2 linked regions of the Oryzias latipes genome follow. The protein of the gene in region 1 purifies or fractionates together with the protein of each later gene. This does not show direct contact. Links are inferred from orthologs where the notes say so. Each region holds a gene or a part of one and is shown in the gene's direction. Other genes may lie near its edges.

Region 1 (16,140 bases):
AAAAAAAAAAGTGTCCTGAAGTCCACTAAAATGACCTTAGCTGCTCTGCCTGTCCTCCACTGCCCCCTACAGTTACAGAGGTAGAACTGCAGGTCACTTCTTTCAAAATAAAATATTTCAGTTAAATTTCAAAGCAGATTTGCTGGCTGGTCCCTAAACAATGGAAAGAAAAATCATAGTTTCCCATGAAAACTATTAGAAGCAGCAAAGTTCAGAGTTTGTAAAAGATTAAGATTTTTTATTTAAAGAAAGATTTCTGGAAAAAGGTTTCAAAACAACACGAAGGATTTAGAAAATCCTTAAAATACGACGTTTGGCATAACTGGATAAAAAGTTGAAGCTAAATGTTAAGGATGGAACATAAAAAGATACAAATATGTGGTTTGGGACAGAATCAAAATAAAATAAAACACCAAAAGGGGTTTAAAAACGAAAAAAGGTTGAAAGCAGTTACTTCACCAAAACACATTAAATTTATTTTTTTTGTTCTGAAAACTTGAGGTTTAAAAATGGAACAGATGAGATTAGAAAAGTAGGTTCCTGTTTTTTCAAAAAAAAAAAAAGAAAACCTTTGTTTTTTTTTCCAAACATGTTTGATTATTCTGAATAGCTGTTTGAGGGAGACTTTATACAGACTATTAAGGCCAGTACACACTGGGACTGGTGCTTGAAATATTCATGTTTTCTTTGTATGATTCTGAAAAGCGCGTAAATATTTGCTCTCTTCTTCTGAGTGAAAAGCGACTTCAAGAAGCGTGAAGTTGCGCAGCGCCACCTTGTGTACAGGAGTATTTCTGTTTTACATTAAGCGCCATCTAATGTCAGGGAAGGAAATTGCATGTTCGCTCGGCTCATCGTCAGCGAAAATCGCCTGGGTGCGAACATAAAACGTGGCGAAAAACGCTGGCGAATAACGCCTGGCGAATATTCGTCCCGGTGTGTACGGGCCTTCACACCGGTGAAAATGAAACCAAGCACGGCTGGTGCACTCTGTTCCACAGAGACCGTTCAGACACGGTGTGGCCACGTCCAATCCAGATTCAAAACAAATCTGCACCAATCCAAATCAGATTTAAAACTTGACATTTATTTAAAGAAAGAGCAACATTTCATAAATACCAAGCTGGTAGTCAGCAACTGAAAAGATTCATGACAGGAAGCCCAAACCAAGTTGTTTTCACGGAATCCAGATCCAAACTAGTTTTGAATTTGTCGCAGATTTTTTTTTTTGGGGGGGGGGGGGGGGGGGGGGGACATGAAAATATTTTTTTAAGGTACAACTGACATTGTAATTTAAATCAAGCAGCAACATGTCGCTTCAAACCACAAATGTACAAAATCAAAACTACATTTAGGGCCCTGCGAGTCTGCCGGATGCTCCCAGAACAAAAAGGAAAGTTTCACCGGAGTGACAAGGCAATGAATTCTACAGACTGAACATCCCAGCAGGTCCAGCGAGATACACAGGCAGGGCTAGAAAGAAGGGCCCAAAGTGTCAGGCAGTTGTGTGTTGCTGTTTACATGCAAACGTCTCGTCTAAAGAAGCGGCGCTTTGTTTTGTTTTTTTCCCCTTCTTCTCATCTGGACACACAGGCTTTCACATCCTCTGTTCGTAAAGGTAATAGTTCATCTCCTGGTCCAGCTCCATCAAAGCAAGTTACTGACCACAACAGCCTGGTGATCTGACGGCAGCTGTGGCGACTTTGAGCGTAGAGCTGGAGGCCTGATCTCTGCAGGACCCAGAAAATATCCTTTATGACTTCTGGTTCGGCAGAGGGCGTCTGAACAGCAGGATGTGTGGCTCTGGAGGGGGGAAACGTGAGGAAGAGGAGGTCACCCTGTGCTCAGTCGACCCGTTTTCACCACAGACTTAGCAAAAACCGGAAAAGGGTTCATCCGTTTCAGTGTCTCTGGATTAACTAATGTACAGGCCTGCATCTGCTGGGGAGGTTAGAGCTTCGTCGGATGATTAAAAAGACTCATTTTAAAGGATGTCATAAGAAAAGCATTTTTTGTAACAATATAAAAAGGTTCAGTTATCAAAATGTAAAACATTACACATCTATTGATCAGTTATCATGGAACCAAACTAAAGAAAATTGAGCATCAAGACGGAAACGTATTCAGACATCCGATTTATTGATCCAGTTTCCTTTTTGACAACATTTCAGGAACTTTTCATCCCAAAAAATCAAAGAAGCGTTTAGAGAGAAAAAAAGCCATATTTTATATAATATATAGGTTATAACTAACTTAATACCTGGTTGGTGGATCATGTAATGCACCCATCCTTGACTCTGCTGGACGCCCAGATTCCTCCACTCCGTCTCTGACATCAAATGGGTCTTGGGAACCCGCTTTGCGATCTCTTTGGGCAGCATGACATGTCTTTGGAAGAGGATTAAATAAAGTTTGTTTAAACAAGTGGATCATGGATTTTGACCATCCTCTTCTGCAAACTTTGTATGTTGTTGCAAACTAGCAAGTTATTTAGAAGTTGAATAAAAGTCACACAGAAAGGAAAAGGGAGACGCCGGTTGTTTTAGCCAAGAATTAGTGATTCATAACGTCACTAAATAAATGACCTGTCAGTGTCACCAGAAGCGTCCGCGTCAGTCAGCCAGACCTCACCTGTACTCGTATTTGTCGTCGTCATATTTATCAGAGTAGTATATTTGTTTGTGAGACATCGTGGAAGCCCGTAGAAACACACAACTGTGGAGAAAGTGACAAACATGCGGTTGGAATAAAAACAGCTAACGAGTTAGCTAAAGTTAGCAAGCTAGCTAACGCTCTCCGCCAAGACTCCCAAAAAGTTGGAACACGATTGCAACTACGACACAGAATGTGATTACTCATTTACCTTTATAAAGCGGAGTATATTAAGCAGTGTAAGACAGTATAGCGGTATTCCAGCGTTTCCACAACAGCGAACTACTTCCTTTTCCTTGTTTCCCTCTCGAATGCGTGAGAAACCGCCGTCTGATCATTCAAATAGGCCAGCCTTCATCCCATTGGCCAATCCGGCGGAAGCTGATCTGGTGGCCGGATATGACATCACTTTTTATGGATATGACGTTGTGTGTACGACTTTCTAATTGGTCAATGTCTGGAAACATTAATAATAATAATAATAATAAATAAATAAATAATAATAGTTTCTTAAAAATACAGAATTTTCTACTAATAAAATTACAAATATTTACTAAATAACTAATAAAAATGTCATAGTTCCTTCTTTCATTAAAACAAATAATTTACAATCCACAGTTAAAATAGCTAAAATAAGAACAAAAATGAATGAATATATCTAAAAACTTTTCATAAACACCATTTCTTTATCAGAATCACATTCAAAAACCTTTAAAAAAGCAATGGTCCACAGAATAATTGCAAATCATTTGGATTATTTTATTTTTAACGCTTAGCTTAGAGTGTGTACCTTTCTTCTGACATGGTTCAAACACATCTCCATACGTGGTCCATGAGTTTAAAATATCAAAGGTTTAACCAGCTTTGTGGCGATGCGATACAGTCCAATTTTATCATAAACTTTTTTACTAAAATGGAAACAATCCACGTCTGTTATTGCACTATAAATGAAATGCGTCTTAACAGAGAAACTCCTTGATTTTATTTTTAAGTAACAAAAAAAGAGTCTAAAGGACATAAGTGCTTTAAAAGAGTCAAACCTGACATTTCGGGTCTTTCAGACGGTCTTGTCCGTTGATGTCATATCAAAGTCTGTCATTACTTTACTAAAGCATGTTCGCAGTGCCGTGAAAAAAGGGTTATCATGTGTTTAGTGAACATAAACCTCACTGTGGTTCACCTTCTGCCAATTAGGATTGGTAAAAACACGCGTGTGATTGAACATGTTTGTTTGCATCACACATACATGCACAGACAGTAGAGACACAACAGGAAGACAAAGGTTACCAGAGACTGATTATTTACTTCTGGGTCAATTTGATCCCTTTGTACCCAACAATCTTGTCAGTTTCTGTTGTTTCTAACCACTCTTAGTATTGATTTGTTTAAATACATATCTTATCACTTAGATGCCGACCTACTATTCAAATTCAATTTACCGGTCTCTATAAGAGAAAAGGGATTGTCTGACTTGTTTGTTTTATTCTACAAAATAACTTGAAACCAACTTGATTTCAGTAAATGTGGACAGAAAAGTGAGGTGTGAGCTTTCTTCTGTCACAGCAATGATTTCTAGAAGAAAAGACGGCTGTGGCGTTCCTGTACATTCATGAGTTGGTTTATATTGGGGCAATATCTTGGTTGTTTAGCTCTAAATGACCCTAAATGGGAATGAGGGATGGATGGAATTACAGTGAGGGAGGTTCTGACTCCCTCAGAGGACTCCTGTGTGTTGAGTTCCCACTAAAAAGCTTTATTACGGTTCAGGAAAATCAACGTTCTACTTAAACATTACAGTTTAATAAAAGGCCGAGAAGTGTTCTCATGGAAAAGGATGTCTGCTTCTTCTTCTGCTTCTTCTTCTTCTTTTCGCTGACTGATCCTGTCATTTTCTGACCCTGTGGGTTTCAGATGATTGACATGATGACAGAAGTGTCTGCAGAGGAGAAATCGGAGTGCAGGGGTTCTCCACGGGGGTAAGTCCCACAGTCAAATATAGTTCTGCAGACGTGTCAGTCCCGGGCTGGACCGGGACCTGCTCCCACCCGCCTATATATACATGTGGAGGGAAGGAAGGGCCCCCACGCCACGGCGCGCGCTTTCAACCAAACCCACCAAGAAGAAGAAGAAGAAGAAGAAGAAGAAGAAGAAGAAGCTCGGCCTTCACCTGCCGTTTTCACCTGGATGCGTCAATCACGCTGGCCTGCATGTCGTTCTCCGTGACACCACGTGACCGTCTGATTGGCCCGTCAGTGGTTTGGGGGCGGGCGCTCCCAGGCGTTTGCTGAAATCCCATTGGAGGACAGCATTCAAGGTTGATGTGACGCAGCTTGGAATTCCCAAAGTTTTCGAGTTCTCTGGAGGAGAAATCTGTTCTCCTTTGGCAGAAAAGACCCAGGAAAAGGTTCTGCAGAGCTCTGGTCCACAGGAGCAGGTAGGACCGGGTCGGCCCGGGTTGACAGCGCCGCTCCGGGCTCGGAGGAGGAGGGGGGGATTAGCGCGTGTTTGTGAGGCGCGGGGCTGAGCGGGGACACGGAAGTGCGGGATTGGGAGTTTTTGGGCTCCTTTGTTTATCTCCGGGAGTGAAGGTTCAGACCGGTGCAGGTTCTCCAGGGAACCCCGGTGGACAGGTGAGGATGGCGTTCTGCGCGCTCTCGATCAGCGCGTTCTCGCTCCGGTCGATAACGGTTTATTGGATGAATGGATCATGAGACAGAATGATCGATTACAGATTTATTGGAAGAAGTCCAGATGTCTGCAATGTTCCGCTGCGCAGCAGCTTCATACCATGTTGCGTAACGACCACCGGCCGCTTATCCGCGGTGCGCAGAGCAGCTTAGCGCCGGTTACGTAACGGCTTAGAACCCCGCGCACGCTCCGCCGTCCGCTACCGTCGCGTCTGGAGCGGCAACCGTGAAGTCCCACAAGGCATCTCGGCTCTGGTATGTTAAACTGAAGGCTGCTGTTGTCATGCGCAGAACATCCGAAAAGCCAACCAGCCTCCTGCTGTACCGATTCTGGCCTGAAGGGGGCGATGTCGGACAGCAGCAACAGCACCGGCAGCAGCGGCTCCTCAACCAACAGCTGGACCCTCCTCTCTCCCGAGGTGAGCAGGGGCGGAGTCGCGATGACGTCACCTCAGGTTCATGGCAGTACTTTTTTTTTTTTTTTTGCTTTATTGAACACAATACAAAACAACACAAGAACATTTACATAAAATTAACAAAATATGGCGAATACAAGAAATAATACTGCAATTTGAAAGGAAGCAAAAAAACAAAACAAAAATTCTTATCAGTATGCATATATAAACCTGTCCATAGTCATAATCATAGAGAAATTAGGGAAAAGTATAACATAAGGAAACAAGAATTCCAGAGTTGGATTATGTTATAATAAAATGCAGGGGGGTACAACAGATAAATAAATGGTCTCGAATATTGGGAATTTATCAATATCTACTATGATGATCAGCCAGTAACCGTGTTCATCTGCTATATGGGACACAATTTTGTCTTGGAAGTTTTGGAGAAGTACAGCGACCCCTACTGATCTGGAATTGCCATGACGGAGGAAACCTTGTCCCCCCCCATTGCTGACACCAAAATGATTTATCTGCATTTGTAGAGTGCGTTTCTTGTAAAAAAAAATCAAAATCAACATTTTTCCCTTTACAAAATAAAAAAAAAACAAAAAACAAATAAACTTTTTCTCTTTGTTAGATCTCTCAGACCTCTTGCATTTAAATAAAGTAAAGAAATACCTGTTTTAAGGTGCAACATGTAACAAAAAGGCAAACTTAACAGACCTAAATGAGGCTGAAAGTATTACTGAACAAAAACTTTTAAGCAACAAAACCTTGAATTTACAATAACCATCTTAACTAAATAAATTGCAAGACTAACTAAAGTCATGGAATGACTCTCTGACCATTAATGAAAGCATAAGGACCACGAAACATTGTCTTACAACCATTCTTTCTCGCCTGCTCAACTTTGGGCCACACCGCTTTCCTTGCCTCTCTGTCTTCTTTGATGAGGTCTTCTGCAAAGCGGATGTTGAGGTCTGGACAGACTGGATGGTGTTTAGTCATTCGCCACAGTTCGTCTCTGTATCTCCTTCCTGTGAACTGAATGATGATTTGACGAGGGCGGTTGACGTCGGTTGGGCCCAGCCGGTGTACCGTGTCCAGAATGTTGTCCACTTTCTCTGTCCAGGGTGGTGCGATCTTTGTGATGAGATCTGCCACAATTCCTCCAGTGTCTTCCCCTTTCTCTTCTTTACCGCCATTTAGTCTCAAGTTCCATCTTCTCTTGTATCTTTCCGATTCCAATGTTTTCTTTTCCATCTCTGATGTTCTCTGCTCCAACTCCACAGTTTTCTCTTTCAGACGTTTCACTTCTTCTTCCAACTTTTTATTTCTGTCTTTACATTCTTTGATTTCAGCAGAGTTTAATTCCACAGCCTTGGCTATGGTGGATATAGTCAGAGTGTTTTGCTGCAGCTCCGACTTAAAGTCCATCATCATGCCTTTGAGGCTTTCAATTGCAGCCAAGATTGCGGCGTTTGAGGCTTCTCCTGGTCTGAGAGAGCGGGTTGCATCTGGTCTTAGCTTGTTTTGTGGCGCAGCTGGCTTCAAAGGTGATGCCACGCTGTTTTTTGTCCCCTTAGCATTTGTTTCCATGTCCTCAGGCGTGCAGTAGTCATGTGGAAACAGCATTTTAGCTCTAGCATTAGCTGTAGCTTTAGCATTGGGTTTAGTAGCCATGCTCGTATAGTTATTGGGCCTGTTAGGCAATCTTCAGTTGGCTCCTAAACTTGCTTTGTTTTATCTTGATATCCAGTGGAGAGTCGGTTTTGTAACTATTCCGTCCTAAAGTAACATTTTCAAGGTTATGTTGCGCAGAACGCTTACCGGACGTTTGCTCCCATCGCCATCTTGCCGCGAATCCCATGGCAGTACTTTAGAACAGTGTTTTTCAACCAGTGTGCCGCGGCACACTAGTGTGCCGTGGGAGATGGTCAGGTGTGCCGTGAGAAATTGCCCTCATTAACTGATCTAAAAACAATTACCATCTCCAGGAAATCAGCTCTTTGTTCATCCAAACAGGTCCTGATAAAACACTGAGAAGTTAAGAATATGAAATATCATAAAATTATTTTTTCTTTGTGTTTATATGATTCTATTAAAGACATTTTGATAAGAATAACGGGATACCGCGATTTAGCTGCAGCTATAACTGTGTAAGGAAAAGTCCCGCCCCTTTAACTGTCTCCACCAATCATTCTTGAAGGCTTAATCACATGTCATCAGTCTGACCAATCAGAAGTGGTTTGAGTATTCACTTCCTTGTTTCGATTTAGCGCAAAAAAGTCTCTCTGTTCTAACAAAAATACCAGCTAAAGCTCGTCTTTAGCGGTGTAGCTTTCCACAGAATCTGGTATCAGACTTGAACAAGTGAACAAAACCATGAAGCTCAAAGACGCTGGTCTTTCTGCGGTCGGCGGATTACGGGTACTACATCTCCCATGATGCAGTAAAGTGACTGTCTTAGCGCACAATGAGTCTCTCCTCTCAACGTCTTAAAACAACGAACACACATCAAACAGTTTTTGAATCTTTTGACTGAATTTTTAATACATCTTTTAGAAAAAACAGCTGCAGCTTCCAGCGTTTTCTGCAACAATTATCACAAAAATGCATGTGAGATTGCAGAGCGGCGGTAGATCAATAAAGACTGAGCCTTTTCTTTATTTTTTATTTATCTATTTTTTTGGATGCTGGTGTGCCGCGGGATTTTTGTCAAGGTTAAAGTGTGCCGTGGCTGAAAAAAGGTTGAAAAACACTGCTTTAGAAGAAGCATTTTGAAAGACCTTTCAACAAAAAAACAAAAAATAAAAACCTTGAAAGACCTTTAAAAATGCTCTTAAAACACGATTTGAACCATCGCTGCATGTAAACCCAAACCTGTGAATTTACACACTGAAAAACTTCAACCTTCATTTTATGTCACAGATTATTTTATATCCTTGAGTCTGTGATTATAAAATGAAACCCTATTTAAAATAAAGTCCTATATAATTCTCTGGACTGTTAATTACTGTCAGGATGATTGAGGGACAATTAGAAAAATAAACATTTTACGACTTTTCCTAAAGAAAACATAAAAAGAGTTCATGTTTCCATGGAGACGAAACGCCACGAGGCTACAGAAATCATCCTTTGGGTCATTATGACCCATGAACTAGAAAAACATTTGAACACAAGAAATGAGTTAAAAGGCCACACAAACACACACACACTCTAATCCAGATACACACACTCACACAAACAAACACACAGAGTCTAAGCAGCATTTTGTTGTTTTGCGGGATGATTAAAGGGTTTTTATAATTCACTTCATGAAGAATATGAAAACGGAAGGAAATTCCAGATTGAGAACTTTTTTTTCCAGTTTTCAGTTTAATTAAATCAGAAATAAGCTTAAAAGGGATTTTGTGTTGAGTAACAGAAAATATGATAAAAAAAAGTAACATGTTGTTTCAACAATAGATTTTACATTTTAAAATTCAATGAAGTTGCTTCATTTTGGGGGCTGTGGTGGAGTGGTTCTGTTTTGACCCGTAGGACAAGGGAAGCCGATGGAATCTCAAAATCACAACGGGTCATTCTGACACCAAACATCTTATTGTGAAAAACCTCAGAGGTGTGTCTGCTAACGTGTCACGTCACACTGTGCACGTTTGGCACGCCAGAAGGACCACGGCTGTCCAATTCCCTGCATTCCTCTTTGATTCCGGATGTCATTCCCGCCGCCGTCGCCTTCTGAGGTCACGTCTCTGCTGTGCGGCGCTGCTCTGGATTGCTGGCAGACCAGTTTTAACTTCCTGGACGACTGTCTTCCGTTTGTTTCCTAACACACTTTTGGTTTTTTGAAGTGGATAGATGTGTCCTTTAAGGGTCAGTGTTAGGGTTAACCCTACTGCTTTCTTTTCCAAACGGCGTGTCTGCTGTCACATGTAGATGTAGCTTCCACACGCGTGTACTGGTGGTAGTTTTCGCCAAAGTTACAGGGTCAAACCAGGATCAACGTAGAATGAAGGAAATGGGAGAACGTCATCACTGCTATTGACTGTAAATGAGAACTGGACTGAGAGACTCCTCCCTCTTGGCGTTCCAAACAGGAAGTGGCTCCAAGAAGCCAAAATGCCACAGACGTCTATAGAGAAATAAACCGCTGTCAGTCAGAAGAACCATTCTGGATCTGAGACTTTTTTTTCTTGATAATCCTAATTTTTGTTTCATGATCATTTTTCTGCTGTTCAAATTATAAACTGACCTGATTGGAAAGAGTGGTTGCCATAGAAACGTCGACTTGGACCAATCACTGGTTACATCCGGTTCAGAGATGGCGGCGTCCCCATCGTAAAAAAACATGAAAAGCATCACATAAAGCATAAGTGAATCAAAACACGAAACACAATAAAAACCTGAAGGTAAAAAGTTGGTTTTTCAAAATAAAAGCGGAAAATACAATATTGCCTTTAGGAAACTTTTTCTATTAAATGTGGAGTTTTGAGATGAACTGAAAAGGATCAAACCAAAGCAGTTGGGACTTTTGTACATCCGTGTCTGCTTGTATCGCCGTTTCCAAACCGTCTGTTGATGTCTTTACGCAGGAGGCCGCCGCCATTGAGAGTGTGGGGCCCGTGGACGACGGCACGGAGAGCCTGGGCGACGCCCCCAGTCTCTCTGAGGAAGTAGCAGGTATTTATCCACACACAGGCTGATTGTGGAGCCCGCACTGACCGTCCAGATCCCACTCTGATCCCCCATCTTCCTGTAGGAGCGGCGGCTGAGTTCAAGCCGGCTGACATCGCCGTGGAAACGGTGCTTTCTGAAGAAGGCCATCAGGTAGGTGGTTCGGTCAGACGTCTGCTCTGGCCCTGCAGGGCTGTGAGAACAAGAACAGAGATCTCTCATCCCCAACCGGGACATTCATTCCTGTAGCGTTCAAGGACAGACGGAACTCCAGAGGAACGTCTACGGCCCGGACGCTTTCTGAGCTGCTGAGGGAAAGACGTTAGCCACACCCACTTCAAATGTTCAGCCAATCACACGATAGACTAGACATGACGGATAGGAAAAGCTCTAAGTGGAACCCAGTTCTGCAAACACATCATCATAAAATGTATTTTAACAATTCAGGGTTGTTTTCTCCAAAGAATCCAGAATTGTTTGTCAGCAGACGAGGAAGAAAAGGCTGTTCACTCAGAGTGGGCGGAGTCAAAACACCTGAACTTCACCTGAATCAGTAACTCCGGTACATTAACTCAGGTAATCTGTCTGCCGTCACCAGGTGTGTCAAGAGACCTCCCCCGAGTCCAGCGAGGGTCCCATCCCGTCTAGTCCCGCCCGCATGAGCCCTCGCCCTAGCACCCCCCTTGACCCCCCCGACCTGGACTTGGAGAGTCAGCCTCCGGTCATTCACGACATCGTAACCACCTCCCCCAGTGACAACGAGCACCTGGGGGGCGTGTCTTTTGTCACCAACATTGATTTGAGCGCTCCCCTCGATGTTCCAGAGGTTGAAGTTTCCTCAGTGGAAACTGAGCTGCTGTCCTTGGCTCCGCCCACAGCGGAATGCTCCGCCCCTGCCGAGGTCGACACATCTGCCGACTCCGGTTCGATTCCCTCAAGTGACGTTGGGGAGACGCCTGACCGCACAGCTGAACCTGACCCCCCCACAGAGACTATCACAGCCACCAGCTCTTTCAGTGTCGAGGCTGAAAGTGGCGTGATTCCAGAACGAAAAGAGCCGCCGCCGCCACTGACCAGACAGTCGGATGATGAAGGTCCCGCACCGGAGACCAGGGGTTTGGCTGAAGAAGAGGAAGAGGAAGAGGAGGCTGCTGTGAAGCCAGAGATGCAGACTCAGGAGGAGGAAGAGGAGGAGGAGGAGGAAGGTAGGGAGCTACTGGAGATGAATTCTGCTTGGTCTGACATCATTGTATTGATTGATTGATACCTCCTTAACGCCTCAGTCGCATGCACCTGCGTGGGGGGGTTGACCTGTACCTGTGCTGTGGAGGGTCGTAGAGGAGCGGTTGCCTGTCGACGGGAGGACAGGGGTGTATTTCAGTCCCCTTGAGGCTCACATGGCCACCTAAACGGAACGTAGCATTGTGGTGTATCTGGTAAATGTACGGGGACGTATTCGTAAGGCTTAAAGCAGGTGCACGCACCTGACGTACAGGTGATGCTGTCGTACGCTGTCCTCACGCCACACTAGTTGTCAGTAAGGTGCGAGTACTGACTCCATTTTTTTCATCTGCTGACCCCCCGTGTCCACCTGTAAGGACAGTTGGGACTAAAGCTTCCTTCACACGACCATTTCCAATGAAAAGTCTGAGGAAACGCGCGTAAATGTGCATTTCAGGCCGCTACCAAAGTCCTGAACCACCGTCTTCCGGCTCCACGTACAAAACCTGCAGACATTGAAAGTTTCAAACTAGTTGAACTTTGAGCAAACAGGGACTCTGATTTGTTAGTGACGTACGGATGGCGTCCATTTTCAGGAGAAATTAAGACATTGCCATTTGTGTCCAGACAGAATTTAGCAGAAAGCAGAGCAGCAAACAGGACTCTGGCTTTGTCAGCATGTTTTTCATATGTGTCACGTAAAGCCCCCCCCCCCTGCTGGGAGCGCCGGGGAAACCCAGGCTTTTAACCACGATGGCATCCTGTTCTCCAAGCTGTCCTTTACAGAGCTGCTCCTCATTCCTGAACACGGACAGCTGAGCCTCTGAGGATGATTGACTGGAGTTGAAGGACTCACACGCTACGCTATGTGGTCGTTTGAAGACGGACTTCCTGCTGGTTTCACGTTTTCCTCGCCTTCCCTCAGACCCGAGCGGCAGCTTCGACGACGGCCTGAGGAGGAGGAACGTGGCCTCCTTCGATGCGGCCAGACCGCGGACTTCAGACGAGGACGACGACGAAGAGGAGGTGGAGTTGAAGTTGCCGGAGAGGGGGGAGGAAAAGCCCTGGTTCTCTGTGAACAAATGCATTGTGGGAGCTCTGGTCCTCCTCTTCTTAGGTTCCCTTTTCCTCTCAGGTGAGTTCTCCTCTCATAAAACCTACTTCTGCTTTTCAAACATTCGTTCAAACGTCGTCGACGATCACAAATCCATCACTGTCATTAGCTAATAACCTCAAACTCTTTGAGCCAACTTTATTGTTCCAACTGTTGTTTACAACAGTCCCGATTGATTTGGTTTTCGCTCCACAATCGTCATTTCAAATAATTCCAGGTTTTATTTTATGCAGCAGATGCTTCTACCTGATCAAGTCCGTCTTTAATGACCTCGAGTTCAGCTGATTTTTTATTTGTTTACTTGATAATAAACACAACGTTAAATCCCACATTCTTTACCAAACACTTCTCCATCGCTCTCTGGAAAAGGTCACCAGGATTTTTCATAACGTTTCTTTGGTAACAGTTTATATTATTATTGTTAGTTACTGCATAATTAAGCATTACTAAGTGTGTTTTTAATGCATTAGTTAGCAGTTGACTGTTATTATTATATACTATATTATTATTATAACCATTTATGATGCATAAATGGGAACACTTTAAAAAACAGTTAATGTAGTTTTGTGCAGTCATTCTTTAAGATAAGCCAAAACATTTGTTATAACATGATAACAACCATCATCCTGGGATTCTTCTGCTTTAGTATTTTAGAAGGACGTCCAGGCCTTTTCCTGGACTTGGTACCAGTTCTGGTTTGAGATCAAATTATTGCAGCTTTTATTGCTAAATCATTTCAGGGAAATGTCTGAAGGAGCTTCAAGCAGCTTTGGATGATCGCTCTGCAGTTTTCTTGCATAATTAAGAATTCAGAGAGCGACTTTGACCAGATCTGGCAGAGTGTCACCCTGTGAGAGTAGATTTGATCTGATGTTAAAGAAAAGAAACAAAACTCCAAACGGATCTAAAAATGTCCTTTTTGTTGGAAAGGATTCGCCGTCTGTTTGACTGACGGCTCTCTACCTGTTGCTCCTCCTCCTCACCTTGTTTCCTGTGACCCTCGGTGTTTACGGGTCACATCAGCTGCTCTTTTGCTGGAGTCAGCCGTATCCTTGTGTCCGTTTAGGGTTTTGCTGACGAAGCTGCTGGGAGTCGCCGGGTTTCCTCTGTGAGCAGAGCCCGCGGCGGCGGCAGCGGCGGTTCTGCGCTGGCGGCTGGATCTCAGTTTACTGTCAGAGCTCACATCCATTGTGACGGCTGCTGCTGCTGCTGCTGCAGAAAGAGGCCGTTCTAGTCCCAGAATCAGGCTTTGGTCCTTTTTTCAGGATTTGCTGGGTTTCTGAGCAGGAAATCGAAATCTTAGATCTTTGATTTTGAGGATCTAATTCATAAAATGAGTCTAGAATTCAGAAATGGGATGAAGTCTGTTCTTTTGGGGCTGTGGGGTGTGGGAGGGGAGGTGGCGGCTGTGCATCATACCGCGCTCACACGTGTGATGTTCCGTGTTCTGACAGGTGACTTTGACGCCTCTGAGCTGAGTGATGGAGAACAAAGTCAGGTCTGTTGTTCCATAAAACCTCTTCAAACCACAGAAACTAACAATCAAACTGATGACAATGCCGATGTTCGTCACATCCAGGACTGGCTCGGCCCCGATCCTCAGGATATGAAAGCACTGATGGACAAACTGCTGCAGGAAAACCAGGAAATCCGTCAGCTGGAGAGTCAGCTGCAGGTCAGTACGGAGTCCCGTTGGGGTCAATCCTCCCTAAAGAGAAGCTGAAGAGCTCGTCCTGTTTTGGGTTTTCCAGACGAAGACGGAGGAGCTGGACTTGGAGGTGCGAGCGGCGGCGGCGAGCGGGGACGAGAGAGGAAAGGCGGAGTTAGAAACGGAGAACGCCAAGCTGAAGGAGGAGCTTGGGTCTCTGCCTGAGCTGAAGGAGGAGCTGGAGCAGCTGAGGGCCCGAGTGACGGAGCTTAGCCGGCTCTCAGGTACGTCCGGAAATCACCTGAGCTGCTCGGTCTGATCTCTGTGACCAAACCACGAAAAGATTAGAAATGTCCGTCATGTTAGATGTCTGTCTTTTTAGACCATCAAAGCTTTTCCTATTAAATGACGTTTTTACGTATCTTGAAACTCATTTCTAAGTGAACGTTTATTATAGAAGCTTCCAGAGATGCATCCACCCTAAAATGATTCTCTGATGTTTGTGAATTTTCCACAGCAGTCCCCCCCCCTCCTCCTTCCTCCTCTCGGCCCGATGATGTCGCCGCGGGAGAGCCGGACGCCATGGAGGACGCGGGTGCAGGAGCACCGCTCCAAGAAGAACTCCAGCGACAGAAAGGCCTGCTGATGGACAGCAAGAAGAGACTGGAGGGGATGAAAAAAGACGGGGGGCACAGGAAGCAGCTCCAGGACGGCCTGGAAGAGGTCCGCAGGAAACTGTCCCAACACGTGGAAAGTCTGGGAAAGAAGAAACCGCAGGAGACCAGGCGGAAAGAGGGCAAAGGCAAAAGGTCCGAGGGCCACAGGAAAGAGGAAAAGAAGGAGTGGAAGCACGGCAAAGAGGGAGGATGGAAGGGCAAGGAGGAGGAGTGGAAGCCCCCCAAGGAAAACTCCCACAAAGAGGCCTGGAGGAAGCACCAGGACGAGTGGGAGAGGAAGAAGAGCGAGCGCCGCGTGGACAGAGAGGAGCGCAGGAAGGAAAAGCCGTGGCACAGCCGCTCTCACCCTCCTCATCCTCAGCAGCAGCAGCCCCCCCGGCAGCAGCACCACAGCCACTTCTGGAAAGACCAGGAGCTGAAGCTCCACCGCAGCGTCCGCCCCCAGCTGGGCTGCAGCTCGCTGGAGGACTGCGCCGCCAAGGAGGGCCTCTACCCAGTGGAGCTGCCGGAGTTCGAGGAGCTGCTGGAGGGCTACCTGAGCAAGCTGGAGAGGTCGTCGGCCGAGAGCAAGAGCCGCATCAGGAAGCTGACGGCCGAGTTCTTCGAGGACGGCGTCTTCATCCACGACAGGGCGCTCTTCAGCAGCTTCGCCGAGGACGTGGCCGACGTGCTGGAGGACATGGTGGACCTGTTCGAGGCCGGCAAGCAGACGCGCCACGACTCCCTGGAGGAGGAGATGGAGGAGTTCGAGCGGGAGGCCATGTGGAAGTTCGCCGCCACGGCCTAGAGCGCCGGCAGAGCGCTTCTCGTAGGACGCTCCTTCTCCTCTTCATGGCTGCAGTTCTCGTAGCTTTTGGTACAGAATGTTCCACCTTCATCCGCCATGCTGGACCCAGTGGGGCCACGCCCCCTCAGTGAAGTGTCATGTTGTTTCTTCTAGTTCCAGTGCATGTTCCAGTCAGCGACGTTCACGTGGCTTTAGGGAAATGGTTCTAGTGTCTGCTAGTAATCCACTCCTTCATCCGGTATTTCAGAAGCATCTTCCTGCGTTTGAGCTGAAGCTAAA
Region 2 (16,753 bases), on another chromosome or scaffold:
TTTTCAACACCAACTTTAAAACATTGTACATGATGGCAGGAGGCTATGGAGTCCCAGCAGTAATTGTTGCTGTTTCTGCATTGGTTAGTCACAAAGAATATGGCACTGACAGACAGTGAGTTCCCCAAATTTCTCATTGTATTTCAACTATTGAAAGTTACACTGCTTAGTTCATTTCTTTTTCCTGTTTAAATTCGTCATCTTTAGTTTTACTTTGCTTCTGCTTATTGATTAGAAATTTGATTGGGATAAATGATCTTTAAATGTGTATTTCAGTTGCTGGCTGAGTTTGGACTTAATCTGGAGTTTCTTTGGGCCTGCCTGTGTCATCATCATTGTATGATTTTTTTTCTTTTCTTTTTTTTTCTTTTTTATTGACTCCAGTTTGTTTTAAAACCTTTGTATATGTCTTTCAGGTCAACATTTTCTTCTTTCTAATCACCGCCTGGAAGTTGGCACAGAAGTTCTCAAGTCTAAATCCTGACCTAGACAGCCTGCAGAAAATAAAGTAAGTTATAACTTTTATCCAAACAACTTCAATTAAAAACACCCAAATATAAACTGCTTTATTACACAGCTGTGTTAATAGTTTCTTACTTTTTACTTTGTTTTTAATGATTGCTGCTTGCTTTAAAAAAATAAAAATCACATAAGTTAGTCATTTAAGTAAGTATGTCCGTTGAAATGAAAATCTTCAAATGTTGCAGTAGCTCCAAGTGATTGCATGGGTCCTTGTTGCCCCCTACAGGGCATTTACCATCACTGCTGTTGCCCAGCTGTGCATACTGGGAACAATGTGGATCTTTGGGTGTTTCCAGTTCGAGAAGGGCACAATTGCCATGACTTATCTGTTCACCATTTTTGGAAGCCTTCAGGGTGTGATGCTCTTTGTAATGCACTGTCTACTTTCTAAACAGGTTGGTCAGCATCTTTTTTTTTAGAAATAATTTTAGTAAGCATGAGCCAAAAAAGCAACAAAGTCAAATTAGGTCTCTTGGCATTTTATTTTAAGAAATCATAATTATGATATTTTCATAAATACAGATAAGGGAAGAATATGGAAACATCTCGTCTCAACTCTTTGCACCTCGGAAGAAGACCTACTCAGAGTTCAGTTATTCTCACACAAGAAAACCACAAGTAAGCCCTTCTTTCTGTTTCAAACCAGTGTCTTGTTTTTTTGTTGTTGTTTTTTTTGCACAAATATCTTCAGGTTATTATTCTGAGCAAACAGGATTCTCAGAGTCTTAAGCTAATAGAGTATTACAGAGCAGGTACATATGTGTAGTGTACCATACTTTTCACAAAGATGTTCTTGTTAATAATTGAACTCATCCTTTTGTCATCCTAAGGGATCCAAAAGTACCCAGGACACAGGAGAATCTCAAATTTAAGGAGCTGAACGATGAACTGGGACAAAAGTACAGTTGGCTAAAAAACACAACTTATAGTCACTTTGCTTGCTGCTACTGCCATGTATCATAATTTGTGGACCATATTGATGAAATATTTTATTTTGTAAATAGTATTATTAAATATTGTTTTATAAAGATTAATCTTTTTAGAATGAAAGAATACATTTAAAATATATTTGTTTAGTTATAATTTAGCAATCCAGAAATGTTGTATTTTGTCAGTTAATGAAGCACAATCCAATTTAAAACTGAGTTATTTCAGACTTATTTTAGAAACTGATAGACAATGACAGTCCACAACCTTTTTTGTTGAGGCTTTGTTTTAAATGGCTGAGAAAAAAAACTTTTTTTAAATACTTTGAAATAAAAAAACTGTTTCATCAGGTGTATTTGATGTTTGCCATAACATTTAGGCACTTAATTTAATGAAAATAAAAGTCAGAGAAATATTAGTGATAAAACCTCCCTCTCCTTGTCCACAGCCTTTGAATTGTATCGAAAATGAAGACAGATTTTTACTTTGAATGAACCATTTCATATATACAGTATCAAGAAGCATGTCCAACAGTCTAAATGCTTGCTTCCCCAAATGTGCAGAGATTTTATTAAACTATTTGTGCTTTCAAAGTCTGTTTTAGCATTGGGGTAATATTTCTGCTCAAGAAGTTGTTTGCCACTCACTTGTAAAAGCTAAATTCCTGTATTTTTACTTGTCAAAGATTAAATAAATACTTTCTACAACCAATTTCACACTTGAAGCATTTTTGTAATAGTTTTAAATAGATTTTCTTTACTGAGATCAGTTGGCAGTGCTTACAGTAAAAGAATGCTCGTGGACACATAGGAAATGGACTATTTTGTGTTCCTTCCTGTATGCGTGAGATAAAAGACATGATTTTCCTGATAAAATCTTGGACCCCCTGAATCGTCTGTTTATTTTTTCTTTCTTTAAATCATTTATTTTTTAACCTTTTTACTTTATTTTGATGTCATATTTCACATTCCTAACAATCATAGCCAGTATTTTTGGCGCAGGTCAGCTTTTTAATTTATATTCATCCAAATGTTTTTTCCGAGAACACTTGAAATTCAACTTTGAACTTTTCTTTGTGTCTGCTTCTTGTTGTACAAAGTTATGAAGCCGGAACTGTAAATGGTTCAGACTCTATTAAAACAGTGTGCATGTACGACAGATTGTTCTCAATGTCTGGGTTAGTTGGTATAAACCAGAAAGACTTTGAAGTACTGGTCACCATGGTTCCAAACTCTGACTCTGTTTTTGTGACAAATATCAAAAGTTACAACTGAGTGACCAACAAGTCTATGTACAACTTTAAAAAGTTCAAAAGTGTAAAAATACAAAATGACCGATTTTGAATATCATTGTTCAAAAATTCTGCAGGCACTGGATCAGTGGATCAATAATACAAAGCCTAATAAGTGCTGGAGGAGATCCAGTTTGCTTCAGAGGATGAGCAGCAATGATCAATAGATGGAGGTAACGCATCCAGTACGGATGTGGCTGAAAGGAGGGTAGAAAATGCAGATCAGATAAAGAAGTTCTCTCCAGAGTGAAAGAGGCAGACAGCAAGATGAAGCAGGCAGAAACTGTCAGAGAGGAAAAGAAGAATTAGACAGTGAAGACAAGGGCAAATGCGTTTTGGAAATCGGGATTTTTAAGTTTTGCACATTTGGAAACTTTACAGATAAAACCCAGCATACTTTTTTCTCACTGTTTTTTAAGCTTCATCAGAAAAACCTTCTATTTATTTAAAGGTAAGTTAAACTCATGATTTAAAATCTTTTTGTGTATACTTTCTATATTAAAAATATGTTATGTTTATTCCTCTCTAATAAGATGATGACCAATAGGGAATCTGTAGGTAAAGGAAAGCAGAACAGGTTTTAACTTGCCTTGATGGATCTGTGGTACTGCTAGGATTCCTGAGAGTAGTAGTGAATAAAAATAAACTGGAGAGACTCAGATTCTCTGATTACAAAGATCTTTAAAGAAGCCTAATAAAAAATAAGAACTGCACAAAGCGTTTTCGGGGATTTCCTTTGTCTTACTTTGTGGACAGTTTTTTTTTTACTAGTTCACAATTTCAGAAAGAGAGAATAAACTTTTCACCTTCAAGAGACAGAAAAATGTGAATCACTGTCTGCTTTAAGCATTTACCAATGTTTGATCAAGAACTTGTGTCACCCTCATCTTAAAGCCAATATATTAAGTCTGCTTTGTATTTTTCTTTTACATGTGTATCCCACTGAGAGAAGAGACTAAATACTTTAAAGGTTTTTTCTTTTTATGAAGTACCTTTTAGTTTCTTTTGTAGATAAAAGTGTGTGTTTTAACCTTTTAAGATCTGTTTTAGCAATAAAATAAAGTAAGAAATCATTCATGTTTGTGTTAATCACTTCATACTTTTTCTTACTATTAAGACTGTTGAGAGGAAAATATCACTTTTTCTGGTATGTGTAGCGTAATTCCTCAAAAAAAAACTTCCTTCAAACTTGAATATGTTTTTTATTCAAACTTTAAACAAAGAGAAAAGATGTTTTAAACTGTTAAGAAATAGTTGATGAGTAGGGATTAACTTTTATAAATAATAAATTGTAAATAAGTTTTCAAATATGAGTTTTGAAGACTAGATTTAAATACAATTTCTCTAGATGGCACACGTGATATACAATATAAGAGGCATTTTCCTGTTAAAGACCCATAAGATTCATGTTTTAGATGTTGTTGTGGCATTTTTCTCATGGTGGAGGACATATATAAAAAAATTCAGCATAAAGCTGCATTTCTATTTCCAAAATCTTTATGAATCAGGAGTAGACAAAAAAAGGTGGTTTGAAAAAGCTTATAGCTGTGAGGTGCTATAATCAACGGGTCACAAGTTCCCTGCTCCGCTCCATTCTAATGCATCCACTTCCAGACAAATAGATCCATGTATGTCTTAGTTTTCCTCGTCCGAGCTAGCATCTGGATCAAAACTCTACGGCTGGATAGCTCTGATATCGCTTGCATTTTAGTTGCACCGCTTGGGGTTGTGAGGGTCTGTAAGCTACCGGTAGAAGGTGTAGACAAAGGGATGATGGGAAGTGGGAGTAGTCTTAAACCGTGCCAACGATCCGGCCCACAACTCACAGGTAAATTTCTGATGAGCTACTACTGTTCTGCAGAAACTATGTCCTAGGAAACGACACAGGTTTTTTAAATTTTGGCTAAAAATGGCAGAATCACAATCAAAACACCACTATAATGCTTTTGAAGTAGCTGAAAAGATGATAGGAGTGGTACTTTAACAGAAAAGAGATTTTAAACTTTAAAGGGTAATATTCCACTCTAGAAAATATCAGTAGGCCTATGGCTGATAATGCCTGGGGTTTGAGCCCAGAGGACATTGCTGTACACTGCACAGTTGTACACAGACATTTTACATTGTGGTTTTAACATTTGCAATAAAATCAAACACAAGCATCCAGCTGAGTTAATAACCCAACAAAACCACAGTTTCATCATCATTGTTTCGTGTACAAGTGGCTTCTTTTAACTTTAACATCTCCTAATGTGGTTTATTGCTTCACATTTTTATTTAGATAAATAACTGTGGACTTCATTACAATACTGTAGCACAGAAACACATCTACGTGGAAACCATACTGAAAATTAATACACCATAGCTTTCAACTGATGCCAATCATTTTCTTTTCTTTAGATAACCCTCAAGACGACGATGACCACCACTATACTTGTGACTTCGTTTTCTAATTCATCAATACCACCTTTTCTCCAGCAGAGCCCGAAGGTTAACTGCTCTGACCTGTCCTCACAGAAAAATGGCACTGCAACTTCCAACCATCTTCCAGATTTGTTGATGTCCTGCTTTACTATGACTTTTGGCACGATCTCCAACCTCACTGCTTTGGGAATCTTAGCTAAATCACGAGCAAGATTCCGGCGTCAGTCTAAAGCACCATTTTTTCATTTAACCGTGGCATTACTTTTGGCTGACCTTGGAGGTCACCTCATCTTAGGTGCCTTTGCACTGCATATGCACGTAAATAAGAAGTGGACAACTACTACAAACAACAATATAAACTTTTGCCCATTTTTTGGAGCAAGCATGGTTTTTTTTGGGTTATGCTCGTTACTTATTGGATGTGCCATGGCAGTTGAGCGCTGTGTTGCAATCACTCAACCCTTTTACCACATATCCACTATTACAGTTGCCCATGCACAGGGAATGGTGTTGCTTTTGTGCTCTGTTGCTTGTACTCTGGCTCTACTACCTGTATTTGGTGTGGGGAATTACTCTATCCAGTTTCCTGGCACATGGTGCTTTTTGCAAATTCATGAACCACAGACTGCTGCAGACAAAAACCTGGTGATGACCTTTTCCTGTCTGGGCCTCACTGCGCTCACTCTTTCCCTGCTTTGCAACATCCTGAGTGGCCTGGTGTTACTCCAAGCGAGAAGGAAGTCCTGCAGCAGCACTAATACTTCAACACGTTTTGCTCGACGAGGATCGTCTGCGTCATCTTCCTCCTTGTTTTGTTCACTGGATATGGAGATGATTGTACAACTTGCTGTGATCACTGTGGTGTCCTGTATCTGCTGGGGCCCATTCCTTGTATGTACAACTCTATTGTTTCATTGATTTGCTTTTTTATATTGAAGTTTTTTTCAGAAATGTTGGGGGAAAAATTTGATAACAACATAAGATTAGAACCAGGTGAAACTTTGAAGTGACAACTTTGTGTTTCTCCTACATTTCAGGTCCACATTACTATTATCCTGCACAAATCAAGTCCCAGACTGTCAGCTAATATGAAGGATGGGTTTACCCTATTGGCTTTACGCATGGCTGCCTGGAATCAGATACTGGACCCATGGGTTTACATCTTACTGAGAAAAACGGTGCTTTCAAGGGTTTGCCGTGGATTTTACTTTCAAAGAACAACAATGTCTGCGAACAGCTATTCTGTAGAATATCAAAGAGAGGTGTTTCGTTTGCATTGACCAAGTTTCCTTAAAGGCCCACTCCAATCATCTTTAGATCTATTTTTAAAAAAACATTCTCAGTGGTCTTTTAATTATGATTATGCCATTTTAGCCAAAATCAAAAAACCTGTGTCAGTTGTCTAGGACATAGTCTCTGCAGAGCAGCAGGTGTGGACAGGGCTGTCGGAGCAGAGTAAGCCGAGTAAGCCTCCCCTCGTTTCCCATCATTCCTTTATTTACACCCTCTCCGAGTGACACATCTGAAGACATACTCTGACTGCAAAATGCTTACAGATTAGGTAGCAACACTCCTCACAACTCCAACCTAAAATTACCGGTGCAACAAAAATGGCGAGGAATGTAGGAGCTATCCAGCCATCGAGTTGCATGCCAGATACCAGCTTGAACAAGGAAAACAAAGACAGACATGGAGCTATTTCTCTGTCATTGGATGCATCAGAATGGAGCGAAACAGGGAGCCTATAGACCGCAAACTATAGCACCTACATCGCTTCTACAGGGTTTTTCCAGCAGCATTTATTCAACTGTTCGTAATTCACAACAACTTGAATAAACAAATACTCAGAAATGCTGCTTTAAACTTAATTTTCTTTCTAGCCTGTATGTCCTCCATCATGAGAAAAATGACACAATGTTAAATACAAAAAACACAGTTTGGAGTGGGTCTTTAATCTTTTCATTTAAAAATATTTTAATTTCCCCCCTTGTAAATTAAACTGCAAAACTCATTCGGCAAGACATGTCTGGCAATAAGTAAAGTAATCAAGCGTCAAACTGCATTTAACAACCTTTATTTGACTCTACCGAGTCGACGTCCTTACAATTTGTCCGACATTCTTAGCGGCTCCCAGTGGTGATTGGGATTTTAGGCTGGATGGATTCGTCCAATCAAAACTTAGAATTGCTTGACAAGCGGGGAAATCAACAAATAGCTGATCTGCTACACAAAGCTCACACCCGCGGTGGGCGGGGCTTCGATGCCAACCGCTCTGTGCAACATGGAGTACAGAACCTAGTCAGATATACTGACAGCTTATCGCTCCTCGTCAGTTTACCGTTATTTAATGAACACGGGCTCTTTTGATCTAGTATTGCTTGGTCTTTTTACTAAATGACCTCTTAATAGAAATATTTCTGTGCCGCTTAGACGTTATAACCCGGTTAACTACTGCATCGCTGCCACGTTGAGTGCGGTTAACGGAGCTAACTTAACAAAAACTTCTGGTTTCTGAAAACCAGCTTCTTTCGGCGCTTCGAAAGCTGCTTGTCTTCACTAAAGTACAGCAGAAAGTTGCGCCGATCATCGACGAGGTCACCAGCTAAAAACCGGGATATCCCCATCAGTGTTGACTCATAGGTAAGTCGTGCATAAACATTTACGCTACTGTGGCATTTTTGAACGCGGTATTTGACGCTCGATACTTTTATTAAAGCAGAATTAACTGTAGATATGTAATGCTAAGATCGTGTTTTTACACCAAATGTGTATTTTTAGTCGCTCGTGACAGGATAAAAAGTTTTCTTTGCGTGCCTGTGTGCCAGTTTGCACTGCACTACTTGAGCCCCCCTCTGATCTGAAGCCCATGCAGCTTAAACCCAGTATTGTGTAAAAAAAAAAGACCACCCTTCTTCTTTCTCCGTGACGAGAATGCACAATGCAGCGAGTGTCTCTGCCTCTCTGGGGTCCTTGGGGCTGCTGCGTCTCTTTGGGGTGTCCTGGTCCTGGAGTCTAGCAGCAGGCCTTGGGGCGTATCTGGGAGCAAGAAGCTGGAAATATTTCTACATTGCTGCAAAGACTGCCACGAGAGACATCAAGTAGGTGAAATGTTTGGAAAGGATGTTGATTTTAGGTCAACTTTTTGTTCATCAGTGATCTCCTGTTTTTCCCTTCTCAGTGGCCTGTATGTCCTGTGCAGAGTCAAGCTGGCTTTGTGGCGCTACATGCGGAACGGAAGCAATATTCCTTCCATTTTCACCCAGGTTGTAAAACAACACCCAAACAAACCAGCATTGATCTATGAGGCCACAGGAGAGGTGTGGACCTTCACCCAGCTGGATGAAACCTCTAACGCAGTTGCCCACTGGGCTAGAGGTCAGGGATGGGTCTCCGGGGATGTCGTTGCCCTCTTTTTGGAAAGCAGACCTCTCCAGGTGGCACTTTGGCTGGGCTTGGCCAAAGTTGGGGTGGAAGCTGCACTCATTAACTTCAGCCTCCGCTGTGATCCCCTTCTGCACTGCATCGGGGTATCGGGGTCCCGGGCGATTGTGTTTGGAGCCGAGCTTGCTGATGGTAAGAATGTTTTACACAACATGTGAACAGTTATTCCTTAAGCTACTTCACCAGGCGTGTTCAAGAATCCGCTAAACGCAGGTTTTTGAACGCACATTTAGCCCATGGTGTTCACACTGAACTAGCAGGGAGGGGCTTCTTCTTCTCTAAATTTTTTTAATGTTTACCAGCGCATGTCCCTCACCTACAGTTGGAAGAGGCTTGGTGGGAAATGTCAAAGCGGTGCAAATCTCATGAATCAAGGACATTGTGAGCGTAGCCTAGAATCTTACAATATCACATGTATCAGCATAAGTAAATATCTGTTGATGTTTCATGTATTTTCTATTGCAGTTTTTAAAATTTTGGAACTTCTGCTTTTTCCTCCCATCAACTGTCTTCCTCCCAACTTGATCAGCTTTGTTGGAAGTCAACTCTGCCATCAGCCAGTCCATGGTACGATTTTGTACCGGAGAGCTTAGTGCAGAAATGCTGGCTTGCTTGGGTGCTCAGCCACTAGACGCAGTTTTAGCTACTGCACCTAGACATAGCCCGTCACCCTGTGTTCCCCCTAAAGGCATGAATGGTGAGTAGAGGCTGACCACTTCTTAACTTTCTTGTGATGATTTCCAATTAGAAGTTTTTTTTTTATCAGCCACTAAACGCAGTCACTTTGTCCCCATGTGATTAATTTCTATACCTATGCATCTCTGTATAAATGTTAGCTGTCTTGTAATACATAATTGTTTTAGCTTGGAGTATATTTTGGCTGCTGGGTAAGATTTTGAACTTTGTGATCTATTTCTTGCACAAAAGGCCTATTTCTTCTCCCTGCTGATGTGTTTTTGGTTTGAAATTCTAGTTTAGCCATTCTTTTACTTGGTAAGCATTCTGAATGTAATCCAAGTAAATATATATATTCAGATTGACACGTAAACTGCAACCAGAAAGTGGAGAAAAGTTGCCTTTAATTGCTAATGAAATGTGAATAAGTTCATACAAGCTTATGTAAACCTTTGATTAGGATCTTGACATAAACTTGAAGTACGTAATTGCAGAACTGTTCTGTAATCCTGTGTGCAGATCGGCTGTTTTATATCTACACCTCTGGGACCACAGGACTGCCTAAGGCTGCTATTGTTGTACACAGTCGGTATGTTTTTGCTCTGAAAAACTCCTTAAAGTTGTTCAACTGCTGTACAGCTTGTGACACATTAAAAAAAAAAAAAAAACTCAACTTCCTCTTACAGCTACTACAGAATTGCTGCTTTTGGGTACTATGCCTTTCGCATGCGTACTGAAGACATTATTTATGACTGTCTGCCCCTCTATCACTCTGCAGGTGTGAAAAAAAATCCTTCCGTGTATTTTATCAACACTTTCAGTGTTTGTGTTGCTAAATGTGTGTGTGTTCTTTGCCAGGTAATATTCTTGGAGTGGGACAGTGTTTGATCCATGGTCTCACCGTGGTTGTGAAGAGGAAGTTCTCTGCCAGCCGCTTCTGGGATGACTGCATCAAGTACAACTGCACTGTAAGGGCTAAGAGTTCCTGAAGAAAAATGTGTTTGCTGATTACAAAACAACAGTCATGTAAAAAACAAAGACGTTTCTTCCTGTTGACAGGTGGTGCAGTACATTGGAGAAATTTGCCGTTACCTCTTATCTCAGCCAGTCCGCCCATCTGAGAAAGGTCACAAAGTTCGTCTGGCAATAGGGAATGGATTGCGTCCGAGTGTTTGGGAAGCCTTTATGGAGCGTTTTGGAGTGAGGCAAATTGGCGAGTTCTATGGAGCAACTGAGTGCAACTGCAGTATTGCTAACATGGACGGCAAGGTTAGCGATTATGGTTCATGTGCCTGCAATGGTAAAATGTTATAGATATGGTATTAATCTGGTTCTGTGTTGCTCTTTAAGGTGGGAGCCTGTGGATTCAACAGTCGCATTCTTCCCTTTGTGTACCCCATCCGTCTGGTAAGGGTTAATGAGGAGAACATGGAACCGCTCCGGGACAGCCGAGGCCTGTGTGTGCCCTGCCGCCCTGGTAATGAAATTCTGGACCACAAACTGATGTAGCTTATGAAGGAGGGTGTTCTTTTATGCCTTGCGGGTTATCTGAAATCCCAATATTTAATTTGCAGGGGAGCCAGGGCTCCTTGTAGGTCGGATTGACCAGAAGGACCCATTGCGACGTTTTGATGGCTACGCTAACCAGGATGCTACAAAGAAGAAGATCGCTCACAATGTCTTCAGGAAAAACGACTGTGCATATATGTCAGGTAACCTTTCTTCCCATTGTAAAAAAAAAAACAGTTGGAAAATGTTAAAAGATAATTTAGAAGTTAGAAGGTTGTGATGCCAGCTTTGTCATTTCAGTAGTTCACCTGATCTGTTTGGTTATCCCTCCTAAAACTGTGAGTTTATTAAACTAAATGGCTGTTGAAAAACTATTTTCACTGTTTTCAGGCGATGTGCTGGTGATGGATGAACTGGGCTACATGTATTTTCGCGATCGCAGTGGCGACACCTTCCGCTGGCGAGGGGAGAACGTCTCTACCACTGAGGTGGAGGGAATAATCAGCAATCTTCTGGATCAGACTGATGTGGCTGTGTATGGTGTGGCTGTCCCAGGTAACAACTGTCTATTTACACTGAAGCGTCTTCAGGGTCTCACCCGTTGTAATCCTTATTCTTGTGAATTTTGCACCAGGTGTGGAGGGTAAGGCAGGAATGGCTGCCATTGCTGATGCCTCTGAAAGTTTGGACTGCGACAAGTTCTTAAAGAACATCCAGCGAGCACTTCCTTCTTATGCACGCCCTGTATTCTTACGGACCTCTCCACAGGTGGACACCACAGGTGAATAGAACCACCATTGCACATGAACCGCCATCACTCATTAATGTCTCCATAATAATTTACGGATTCAAAATAATATGACTTTGTCAACATTTTTTTTTAGGCACATTCAAAATCCAGAAAACAAGACTGCAGAGGGAAGGGTTCGATCCTCGTCTCACAACTGACCAGCTCTACTACTTGAACAGTCGTGCTGGACGATACGAGCCTATCGACGAGGAGCTCTACAATGCTATAGTTGAGGGAAGAATTCCCCTATGACCTGGCAGGCAAACCCAGTAGGCCTCAGTTGAACAGGCTAAATAAACTGTTGTTGAAAGAGATAGCATAGGACATGCATACAGAAAGGCTTGGACCAGTCAGACTTGGTGCACCATTGTCTGCACTTTAACCTATCTGGGAACAGAGTTGAGAAGACTACTCACATAGACAGAATTCTGCTCCAGCTAATGTTTTAACACAGTGTCATTAACACAAGGACATGAAGTGGGAGCAGCCCTTTTGATAGGATATTTTATTTTAAAATCAAGTGAACACCTCATAGAGCCTTCAAGCATCACTAAGAAGAAATCACCCGTAATCAGTCGGAAACAGGTCATGTCAGGACAGAAAGGGTAGTATCAAGACAAACACTGTTACATGGTACTGTACCCATGTTTTGCTGCACATTTGATGCTGTATAGGTCATTTTCTATTACCACTGTGTGCTTGATTGAAGCTAAGAGACTTCAACATGCAGTTGGAAAAGCTGCTAGTTCAAATATTAACCCCATAGGATCTTCCTTTTTTAATGCAATGGAAAACTAATCCCACTTGTCAAGTTGAAACTTTAAGGAACACTGGTGTGGGTTTGCAAAGAAACATTATTACTGAATGTGCCTTCAATGAAACTTGCATTTCCTATTCTAAATGATTTTTAGAGAAAGGAGCCAAATGAATGTGGATATGACAGAATGACTTTGTGTTATGCGGAGCTGAGAAACACTATAATTTTTTGTGTAACAGTTCTTATCAGTGTAGTGTAATATAGATGTTCATGATTGTGATTTGTAATTGGAGACCTAGAATACACTTCTGCTGTAACTTAAATTAAATTTCTCAAAATGCATTTCTTTTATGTTATTCATTAAAAACCCAGATGTTCAATTGAATGTTGTGGTATTTGTACAGGCAAGTTTTACTTTAAATAATGAAAATACTAATTATAACTAAAATATTTCCATTCTTCAAACAAGTAAGTTAATGTGTGGCGCTAACATTTGAGCAAACGTTTCAGTATTCGGTAGATAAGGAAATACTTGCTGGTAGGATTTTCAGTGGATGCTCTTTGCAGGCTGTGCAGAAGTAAGGAAAGACTTTGGGTGAGATGATGTTTGTGAAAGTGTAGAGAGTGCTTCTCTCTCTGGGATCCTGAAACGCTACCTTCCCTCGGTCCATGTCCAATACCACTCTTACCACAGCAGGTTTTTTTGTCATATTAAGAGGCTCCCACGGAGCTGTGCAGGCTTTGTGCTCTCCATTGCGAAACCTGATCGTCCAAAATCCCTCTGCTGGCGTCAACACATGTTTACCCTTCCTGTTAATGGACTCACTGGCAACTCCTAAAACCCAGTATGTGTTGTCATTCACCTCCACGTCCCACCTATGGCGTCCAGAGGAGTAGCCCTCGGCTGCCAGCGTCTCAGCGCTGATGTCAAAACGCTCTGGGTTGTCGGGCAGCTTGAATATTTGAGTAGAATTCTGTATAGTGGTGAGATCCTCTGAGAGAATGAAGCAGTTGGCAGCTGTGTTGGGATCCAGAATCACTGAAGCTAAAAGAAAAAATATATCTTAGAATTTAGCTAAGAAAAGTTCACCTGTCAATCAAACTATTCCTCAAGAAACTCACTGTATTTTACAATCTTCTTCATTTTTTCCCACACTTTATATTTCAAAGAGCCCAAGTGTTTGGCAACATCAATCAGAGCACCAGACAGCAGCTTGGGCTCATCACAACTTTTCCAGGTCCTGAAAAACAAGTTTGTCAGAATTCTTCCTAAAAAGATTTTTACTATAAAACAAGATAACTAAATAATAATTACTTTTAGACGATTTAGAAGTAAAGCAGCTTACCTCTTTATGGTTTCCTTGTAATTCTGAAAACAAATTATAAATACAGTTTTAACACATCTGTATGCAGTCAAACAAGTTGCACAGCTTTGTGGTTCGGTGAAAATGTCATCACTACCTTAAGGAACTGGATGTCATGACTCTTCATTTCCTGTTCCACTAATTTAATAGTATTGGATAGAGATGTTATTTCACAGCTCAGCTCATCAATTCTTTGGTTGATCATGAGGTTCTTCTGTTCCTCTTCAGCCTTTAAAGCAGAAACTCTTGCAGCTTCCTGCTCCTCCAGAAAACGGTGCAGGGCTTCAAACTCATCCTTAATTTGTTTTTCAGCATGTTCTGCTTGGCTCTGAAAAGAAATGGGACCGAAAGGTAAATTCTCACATGAGCTCTTCTTCCAAATGTAAGATTTTGGAACCTCACAGATTTATGATACCTTGATGTGTTCTGCCATTTCCTCACACACCGTTTTTGCTTTCCTGTGAAGCTGTAACTTGTCTTTCAAGGGCAGGAGTGCACTCTTCAGTTCTTCCTGAAATGTGAGTGGAAAGGGTTCAAACTTTTTAAAACAAGGTCAAAGCGGCAGGTGGCCAAGCTGTCAGCACAGTGTGGTGCTTCCAGCTTCTGCATTCTCCTCCATGCCAGCATTCCTCCTAAATGCAAAGCTCCACAATACAGTAGAATCAACCCCAAAACTATTGAAAGGTTTACTATTTTACACAAATAATGAGCAGTAGTGTAAGCCTATACTAATTTTGAATTGGCACAGTATGACAGATTCATTTGAGTTTGGTATTCAGGGTTTCCTGGTTTCTAAAGTCAGCAGAAGAGGTCAGCATTAGAATGAGTGCCGCGTCACAGAAGCCTTGTGAGAGTCGAGTTTCAGTGCTTTCAGGACCCCAGAGGCAACAGGAAGCCAAATATATTAATCTATTATTAGAAAGTTAACAAACTCTGTCAAAGAAACCTTCACACATTCTACATCGGCATACCGCATTTACAGAAAAAGAAAATAAAAAAATCTGTAGGTAGGTAAGAAGCCCATCTGTGGCCCTAACACAGCATAAATGTTAGTTCATCCTCTGCGTATGAACTACATAAACTGCAATATACCAAAAACACTTTTTTGGAAAATTCTTTTTATGGGTAACTATAAAATAAATATGGCAGCAAACCTCTTTTTTTAGATTTTTAAACATGATTTTAGCTCAACTTTTTTTCAAAAAACAGAAAGACTTAAATAATGCAATTTTTTCAGATTAAATTGTGTCAAAGAAACAGAAAACAAAAACATTTTTATGTGAAAAAAGAAGCACTGCACCATTACAGTGGCCTACCTTACAGTCATGAGTGCCTTCCCCGATAGGATAGAGTTTGTGCCCCTTGTGTGCAGCTGATTTTCCACAAACATGACAGATTGGTTCTAAATCCTCCACACAGAAGAGCGTGAGCTTTTCTCCATGCTCTCCGCAAGCTTCTGAGTCATTCCTGCTTCTGTCTTCTTTAAAGGATTTACAGGCCTTCTCCAGCACATTGCTCACCGCTATCCGATCCATGGAGGAATGACGCCAGCACAGAGGGCAGCACTTTAAATCTGTGTCCTCACCGCCCTGCGTGTCCCAACACTCTTGCAGACAGTCTTTGCAGAACCTGTGTCTGCAAGTGAGGACAACGGGCTGACTAAGAATGTGTCCACAAATTGGACAGGAAAGGTCATCTTCAGAGTAAACGCGCCTGCTGGCCATTCTTTAGAATGGTGCTGTCAAACAGGCTGGCACCTAAAAAGCCCCACCCACGGCTCTGGTAGTCTGTCTCATCTTATCCCTCAGAAATAACTGTTAATACTTCTGCTACCAAAGGGATATCCTGTGCGGCTGAGGAACCACATTCACATTTAACACTGTTCAGTGGAGTACAAATCTCACTAGGATTTAGGATATAGTCTCCTCAGATTAATAACACAAATCAAATGCAAAAGTCTTCATCAATCACTGATATACTAATCAATTAGTTATACTATGGAGGAAGAGTCAAACGAAATCTGCAGAAATTAGTCGATTTATACTTGATATCCTTCTATAATCTGAAAGGGAGGTGCACAGAGCTGAACATGCGCTTCATTTGAAACTGTAAAACAGACTGACTCTAGATCAACTTAAGAGAGGATAAAAATTCCCTCAACGTGTGCTTCACATGCAGAGGCTGATTAGCAGCAAAGTCTGTCAAGTTCAGGTATTATAAGCATTAGTTCATGTTCCCTTTGTGAGCATTGCAGGCGCTTAGCAACATTTTCATTGATGAGGAAGGGAAATCTGTGGTTTTCAGCTACTTTTACCAACATACCAGCACAAACCAGAAAGGTGCTTTAGTAAAAAATGCTTTAAAAATTCTGTGTATTAAAATTACGTCAATACATTGCTCATTATTTTTTTATACTCGTGCATTGGCGTGCTTTGGCCTCATAAGATCCATAGATTAAAGTACATTTCTCACTTCTCACAGTGGTTTTACTTCTTGTTCTTGAAAGGAAATGCCTTTTTTGTTGTTGCTTTAGGTGTTTTGCATTCATGTTCTTCACAAACTATTCAAAAATTAGCTGAATGGTTGTGTACAGTCAACAGATGACTCATTTTTAAAACCACAGTCCACTTTATTGTCAAATGGGAATGACAGAAGTGCAAAACAACAAACATCACAAAAAAAATATTTGTAAAAAAAAAAAAAGGTTTTGATAAACAGACAATGCAAGAAATTGTACATGACACTGCAAACGGAGGTTGCACAAATGCTCAGCTGTGTAACAACATGACTATGAAGAATGAATGCCAAAGTTCAGTCATCTGAGGATTAAAGACCTAAGATTCTGTTCTGGCTCACATGAGATTACAGCAACACTGAACACATGATTACAAGAAGTGCTGTTCATACAAAGCATGAGTTTAAATTGGAAATTAAAAGCAAATGTTTTAGCTGATGTTTATATATTGGTCCAACAAATTATTCTGGGTTCTAATAGTGTGAAGTTTATCAGACTTTTACTGTTAAATCCTTTAAGTTTTGCACAACATAGGGAGGAG

Evidence for each region.
Region 2: the proteins of pre-B-cell leukemia transcription factor-interacting protein 1 (region 1) and long-chain fatty acid transport protein 1 purify together in Homo sapiens (co-immunoprecipitation; 3 studies listed by BioGRID and IntAct, with this or other methods). This does not show direct contact. The link is inferred for Oryzias latipes from reciprocal best matches to the Homo sapiens genes PBXIP1 and SLC27A1.

The regions. Positions count from the first base shown.
Region 1 is NC_019869.2:883,381-899,520, reverse strand, and holds the start of pre-B-cell leukemia transcription factor-interacting protein 1, read left to right. Parts: upstream 1-4,751; 5' UTR 4,752-5,086; intron 5,087-5,117; exon of another isoform or gene 5,118-5,282; intron 5,283-5,630; 5' UTR 5,631-5,686; coding exon 5,687-5,758; intron 5,759-9,008; exon of another isoform or gene 9,009-9,872; intron 9,873-9,992; exon of another isoform or gene 9,993-10,332; coding exon 10,333-10,420; intron 10,421-10,499; coding exon 10,500-10,567; intron 10,568-11,012; coding exon 11,013-11,619; intron 11,620-12,558; coding exon of another isoform or gene 12,559-12,560; coding exon 12,561-12,770; intron 12,771-14,203; coding exon 14,204-14,247; intron 14,248-14,328; coding exon 14,329-14,424; intron 14,425-14,500; coding exon 14,501-14,681; intron 14,682-14,914; coding exon 14,915-15,861; 3' UTR 15,862-16,140. Other genes in the region: cyclin-dependent kinases regulatory subunit 1, read right to left, coding at 1,754-1,803, 2,261-2,388, 2,632-2,690. UniProt on the Homo sapiens protein: Regulator of pre-B-cell leukemia transcription factors (BPXs) function. Inhibits the binding of PBX1-HOX complex to DNA and blocks the transcriptional activity of E2A-PBX1.
Region 2 is NC_019866.2:9,138,501-9,155,253, reverse strand, and holds long-chain fatty acid transport protein 1, read left to right. Parts: upstream 1-7,402; 5' UTR 7,403-7,801; intron 7,802-8,091; 5' UTR 8,092-8,092; coding exon 8,093-8,259; intron 8,260-8,339; coding exon 8,340-8,734; intron 8,735-9,131; coding exon 9,132-9,299; intron 9,300-9,796; coding exon 9,797-9,866; intron 9,867-9,963; coding exon 9,964-10,055; intron 10,056-10,135; coding exon 10,136-10,245; intron 10,246-10,336; coding exon 10,337-10,546; intron 10,547-10,627; coding exon 10,628-10,754; intron 10,755-10,851; coding exon 10,852-10,989; intron 10,990-11,176; coding exon 11,177-11,341; intron 11,342-11,420; coding exon 11,421-11,567; intron 11,568-11,670; coding exon 11,671-11,828; 3' UTR 11,829-12,713; downstream 12,714-16,753. Other genes in the region: adhesion G protein-coupled receptor E1, read left to right, coding at 1-115, 277-337, 417-508, 749-917, 1,045-1,140, 1,353-1,394; prostaglandin F2-alpha receptor-like, read left to right, coding at 5,156-6,052, 6,193-6,441; zinc-binding protein A33-like, read right to left, coding at 12,840-13,378, 13,456-13,574, 13,680-13,702, 13,795-14,025, 14,113-14,208, 15,014-15,421. UniProt on the Homo sapiens protein: Mediates the import of long-chain fatty acids (LCFA) into the cell by facilitating their transport at the plasma membrane.